2 linked regions of the Macaca mulatta genome follow. The protein of the gene in region 2 purifies or fractionates together with the protein of the main gene of each other region. This does not show direct contact. Links are inferred from orthologs where the notes say so. Each region holds a gene or a part of one and is shown on either strand. Other genes may lie near its edges.

The links.
Region 1: the proteins of STK3 (region 2) and RASSF3 purify together in Homo sapiens (affinity purification with mass spectrometry; 4 studies listed by BioGRID and IntAct, with this or other methods). This does not show direct contact. The link is inferred for Macaca mulatta from reciprocal best matches to the Homo sapiens genes STK3 and RASSF3.

Annotation. Positions count from the first base shown.
Region 1 is NC_133416.1:71,736,097-71,739,845, reverse strand, and holds the start of RASSF3 (ras association domain-containing protein 3), read right to left. Parts: upstream 2,786-3,749; 5' UTR 2,648-2,785; coding exon 2,537-2,647; intron 1-2,536.
Region 2 is NC_133413.1:108,839,526-108,842,191, forward strand, and holds the end of STK3 (serine/threonine-protein kinase 3), read right to left. Parts: intron 1,162-2,666; coding exon 1,003-1,161; 3' UTR 525-1,002; downstream 1-524. UniProt on the Homo sapiens protein: Stress-activated, pro-apoptotic kinase which, following caspase-cleavage, enters the nucleus and induces chromatin condensation followed by internucleosomal DNA fragmentation.

The sequences.
Region 1 (3,749 bases), on a different chromosome or scaffold from region 2:
TTCACTACTATGCTATATGTCAGAAGTGCTTATCTTATTCTTATAATCATCAGCATGAAAATGAAGAAAAAAGCTTATCTAACCTTAGAGAAAAGAAACGTTCTACATTAAGAGCGCTTTGCTTTAAATTTATGATGTTTTACTTCCCTAATTCACCAATCTTACCAGGAATTTTAAAACATTCGTATCACCTCTTTAAATAAACCACAATGCCCACTAAAATTCAGTTTAGAACACTTCGCCTGGCAAATAACTCCTACAACTCAGCACCTTACATGTCTTATATTAGAAGGGAAAAATATGCAGGCAATAAAACTTCAGATACACATATGAAGCTCTTCAAGCACGGAACTATGTTTTCCTGTCCTGATTTCCAACACATTATTTCAAAATACATATTAACGTTAGACTAATTCTAAATGCTAAATACTACTACCCTGAGTATATATGCTAGATGAATATTACATAAATTAATGCATACAACATAGAAACAATAAATGCGCCAGGGGCGGTGGCTCACACCTGTAATCCCTGCACTTTGGGAGGCCGAGGCTGGCAGATTACCTGAGGCCAGGAGTTGGAGACCAGCCTGGCCAACATGGTGAAATCCCATCTCTACTAAAAATACAAAAATTAGCCAGATGTGGTGGTGCATGCCTGTAATCTCAGCTACTTGGGAGGCTGAGGCAAGGAAATCGCTTGCACCAGGGAAGCAGAGGTTGCAGTGAGCTGAGATCACACGACTGCACTCCAGCCTGGGTAATGCAGTGAGACTCCATCTCAAAAAAAAAAAAAAAAAAAAAAAATGCTAAATGCATATAAACCTGGAAAAGAAATCTGATGTCTTTACTCTTTAAAGCACTAAAGGATTGTCATACAATTCCAATCTGAATACTTTGGCCCTTGTGGCATCTCACCCCTGGAGAATCCAAGAACCAGCTAGTTTTCAGATTAGCAGACACCTCTGGAATAAACTTCAAACTAGCATGAGTTCCTTTTCATGTCAAGTGATGAAAGCAACATAAACGAAAGGAGAAAATGCAAAACGGACAAGGGGAAGAGAGAGCCAAGAAAGAGAAAAGCAAAATGGAAAAAGCATAAGCAAATGCAATTTTTCTATAACCCAGGGAGGGTAGGCGTGGGGAGGGGAGGGCATTTCCAACTTCCAAACTTCACAGCAAAATCTCATGCTTTTAGAACACACTCTGCGGAAAGTAAGAGATCCCACTCAAAGTGACTCGTAAATAGTGGGGCCTTAAGTCTTAGAAACAATACAAGACGGACAACTATGGCACTGGGACTTGACTGGAGATTAACTGCGGTTACTGAATAAGGGCACTTGACTTTAGCTTACCCTTCACCGTCTCCTCTCCTCCTCCTGGTTTGAGACTTAAGAGCCTGAAAAGACTACAACTTCCGAATTTTAGAAAGAATTTTACTTCAGCAAGTGGCTAAACTTAAGAGGTCTGGCAAGACCACCCTGACAGATTGCACCCTCCCACACCCACCAGAAAAAGTTATCATCCGGCCCCTGAACGATTCTTCTTGCTTCTAGTCTCTAGGTCTCAGTCTGGTATTAATAGAAATGTCTGGCAAACGCCTATTTTCTAAAAGCAACAAATTTGTTCCATTACGATCTTCTGTAATCTGATGTGAGCGGGTTGGCCCGGCTCCCTGGTGCGGCTCCCAGTGCCAGGAGGCCGCGGGTTCTAGCACCGGGGTCCTCAGTCCAGCCGACGTGCCCCGTTTCGGGAAGGCCTCCCTAAGAAACACGGCTACGGCTGGCGAAACTGGCACAAGTTCCCTTCCCATCTTTTCCCAAGTCGTGCTTCCCACGGCGTGCTGCCTCCAAAAAAGGAAGAAACCGGCCAAAAGGTTAGCTGTCGCTGGCTAGTATTTAGCATCGGAGCTTGTTTGCAAAACATCTGGGCACCAAAAAACCTAGCGTTACAGGAAACGCACAACCCTGAGTCCCGCAACCGAGATTTAGTTAGCGCCTACGGTAGCGAGGCCCGCGGTACCCCTGGACCCCCACCCCACCGCGGCGCCCGGCCCAGGAAGAGGGGAGGCCAGGTCACCTGGCCACCCCTAGCTATTACACGTTGACCCCAAGCCACTCCGGGGGCCACAGATGAGTGAGCAGACTAACAGGAAGGACAGGCGCGCGAACCCGACCGTCGACCCAGCGGGGACGCTAAGGGGAAACATGGGGGAGAGGCCCGGGGACGCCTGCTGGCTCCGGGACTGCTCCCCGCAGGCGGCGGCCCGAGATGGAGCTGCAGAGGCCATCTGGCGCGGAAGGCAGAAGCCGGCCCTCAGCCTCCCCGCCCTTCCTCCGCCTTCTCTCGCCCACATGCACAAGCTCCAGGCACGTTCCCGGGACCCGAAAAGGCAGAAGCCACTTCTTGGCCCGTTCCTCCTTCCCGGCGAGCATCCCCCGAGCGCCCCGCAGAGACACGTGGAGTCAGGGGGTGCGGGCTGGCGGGTTCCCTGGAGCTCCGGGACGCAGACTGCAGCGCCCGCCGCTCGCACTCACTTGCTGGCCGGAGCGGGGCTTGCCCTGAGGCGCTCTCCTGAAGAAGGAGGTCCTGGCGGTGAAGAAGAAGTCCTCGGCGTCCTCCTCCAGGCTGCTGTAGCCGCTGCTCATGCTGCCGGTCCCGTAGCGCCCGGGCGGCCTCCCGGGGGCGCAGGCGGCCAGGGAGGGGGTGCGGCGCCCGCCAGCCCCGCGAGGTTCCCGGCGCGCGGCCCCGGGCCGTCCTGCTGCAGCTGCGGCCGCCGCTCAATCAGGCGTCCCGGCCCCTCCCGTCGCCTCCCCGCCCGGCTCCAGGCGCGGCTCGGCCCCGGTGCGCCCTCGACCCCGCCTCCCTGGGCTCCGCCCCGGACGGGCGACCGGCCGAGCCCCACCCGGCGCGGGCCCGACCCTCCTCGCCCGCCCGCAGGTGGGGGGAGCCCGGCCCAGCCCGCCCCTTCCAGGCGCGCGGGTTTCTCCCGGCAGCGTCGCGGAACCCGGAAAGCCGGGCACTAGGGCTGCATCTGGTGGAGCTGTGCTCGGGTCGCTTCCTCAACCTCCCGGAAACTGCAAATTCCTCTGCGAGCCGTCCGCCCGCCCCCAGCCTTGCTGGCTCGAGTTTCGGAGAGGGCGGGGGCAGAGCGGGGAACTTTCTCTGCTGTCCACACCCTGCTCGTCCCCCTCCCAGGGTCCTGTGGGGGTGGGTGGGGGTGGGTGGGGGTTGCCCGGCCCTGTGGAAGGGCCCCCCACGTCCCACGGCTTCCTGCAGCCGTCCTGAACCCCAGCAGCTCGCCCCGCCTGGAGGATTTCAAGTTGGCAGAGATGGGTGCGGAGGTCAACAACTGGGTTGAGTTTATTCGAATGAAAACATCCTTTCTGGTCATTCATTTGAGCTTCGGTCTTATCCTTTTCCCCTTCTTTCTAGCGAGGGCTCACTTCCAGATAAGATCGTTATCTTAGGCGCACTCAGTGCAACTGAAGGGTGAACTAGTTCTATAGTTACAGAACAATCGAGTGCTTATTAATTAAATGTGCTTTGTAAATGTCCCCGCCACAATCAGCCTTCCACGGTCACCCACAGGCATGGTTTAAGTGGTGGGGATAAGGAGATCAGGGAATTCTATTCATCCACGTACAAAAAAAAAGTTTCCATGTTTTCTAAAATTCTTCCAGTCAGCTAATCCTCTTTTAAAGCCACCTGTGGGTAACAGTCTTTTACACCTTAGTGTTACTGCACTGA
Region 2 (2,666 bases):
CAGTACAAATGTTTTTGCTACTGGGTTATCATCAGGCACATGATGTTTACCAATTCCCAGGAAATGAATAAAATCAACAGAAACATCCTGTGACAATAGAGCACATTTTCATAGAAATGAAATTGATGAGCTTATTACAGTTTGAATCAGTTCAGCTATTAGATCTACACATAAAACATAAAACAATATTAACAAGTTACATTTGTATTAAGTTTTTTTTAAAAAATATTTATCATACTTTTTTGTGCAAGGATTCCACTGATTTCTTTGGTTTTAAACACGATAGATCTATTTTACCTAAATATATATAGTTCTATTTGTACCAAACATCAAAAATCAAAAAATTAAACAAAATTTCAAAGGGTAAAAATGGAATTATTGCTTCGATATAAAAAAGGCCTAGCCCATTTGAGAACTATTGCCATTATTACTTTCCTACTGGAAAACTATCCTGGAAATCAAGGAATGTACCCCATAGCTCCCTGCAGAAAGTATAATTTGGTTGCACATTATCATCATATTAATATGACCCTATCTTCACCAAAGCTATCCTGATCTTGTCCTTAAAAAACAAAACAAAGCAAAATAGCATAAATAAATAAGTTTACCTAAGGGGATACAATAAATAGACTAGTATACTAGATAGGAATAAAGAATATTGTAACATAAAGCCCTTCAGTGCTGCACAATTAAACAATAGCTTTGGATTTTCAAGGTCTCTAAACGCAGCCTCCGTTTCAAAACACAGTTTTATTGCTGGTATGCAGCTGACAGAACAAGAGAATACACTTCTTTTGTTCTCCTCATCTGAAAGTGAATGCACAGCAGATACAACTGTCAATTCTGCCTTTTGGGAATTTACCTGGGCATGTACCATTGTCAGTTTTTGACCTCTGACTAATTGTAGGGCAAAATCTTAGGATTAAAAATATACAAATATTCCTTCAATTCCTAGTGGTTTCTTGGTCTCCAGAATAGTTAAAAACAGACAGGAAATTAGACTCAAAAGTTTTGCTGCCTTCTTTTTTTTGCATCCATCGCATCCAGAATGGGCTGTCTTTTCGCAGTGTATCTCTGACGAAGTTCTTCTATCTCCCGTTCCATCATAGGGTCCAGTGCTTTTAATCGCATCTGTAGTTCTTCTAAACTTAGATTTTTCAACTAGATATGGAAACAAACAAAGATATCAATATAGTGAAATTATCCACAACACATTAATGTCTAATGAGTTTTAACATAAATATTTCAGCAAATTCTTTACATCATCTTCGAAGTATGGTTCAACAATTAAAACAGGAATTTCTTCCTTGAAGAACCCAGAGGTCATATCTTGCAAGAACCTCAAGTAATCTGCAATGAAACAATCGGATCATCTGCCTTTAGTAAAGGGCAAATGAGAAAAATATGCTGATAGAATTTGTAAAAAGGTACAAAGACAAATCCACCCCCGCCAACAAACAGATTTTCAGAATACGTTCCAGGTATATTCACTCTAACTTCTTACATCTTTGCCAGCTACCGAGTGCTACAATAATAATGAACACTTGCAGAGATCACCCAAGAACATGACAAGACTGAATAAAGGTTAAATTAACCATTCTATCCTCCATTTTACCAAATGCTTAATAAAGAAGATGACTGTGGTAGGGGGTGGGAAGTAAGGCTGAATAGGCCTGGTGGGGCCCCAAAAGTAGGAAGCCATGATCAATTCTGGAGTAGGACAGTTATGTAAGAGTAATCCAGATTTTGTTTCTCCTTCTCCTTCTTCTTCTTTTTTATTTTTTTGAGACAAGATCCCACTATGTTGCCCAGGCTAGCCTCAAGCTTCTGGGCTCAAGAGATCCTCCTCCTTCGACCTCCTCAGTAGCTGGGATGTGCCACTGCACCCAGCTAAGGCTTGGTTTTAAAATGATAAAACTTGCAACTTACTTTTTGTTTTAAAAAGATAACTGTCTTTGGTTATTTTATGAGTCAAGGAAGAAAAATACTCATTACTTATAGTCATCCAAAGTAGCATGTCCCAGCAGATCCTTTTACTCGCCATCCCTGGCCCTATCGTGACTTCTGCTTCCAAAAACCAAATTCACTCTTAGCTGAAAAAGACTCTGAGGATACTGAAAAGAATGAGTCACAGACTCTTTGAAGGAAATTCAAAAAAGGAGTTCCAAAAATATTTTGAGAAATGACAGTATATGGAGAAGAGTATGCAGGCTTCCATGATGATGACTTTGAAGGTGAATGCCACTCACTTCAGTACATAAGAAGTTCTGGTATGTATATTAATAATCAGCCCTGTTACTTTGTAGTCATATGTCATGAAAGAACCTAGCTTTTAATATTATGCTATAAAAGATACATTTATATATAATATGTATTATTATACACTTTCTTCATTGACTTTTAATCCAAGTAGTGATCATGCATCTGTTACATGCTCAGTGCTGTTCAAATTGCTGCGGGGATACAGAATAAGACAAACAGGGAAACTCCAAACTTTGAACTGTACACATCAGTAATGGCCATACTGAAAGGCCAATGTATACCACACAACCACATTTCCCAAGAAAGACACACCCAACTATGTCTACGTAGGATCCAATTCCACTTGTGTGTTCTTCAACATCATCTCTATTTCAGCTCATGTTAATCTTTCCCATTTCTAAATT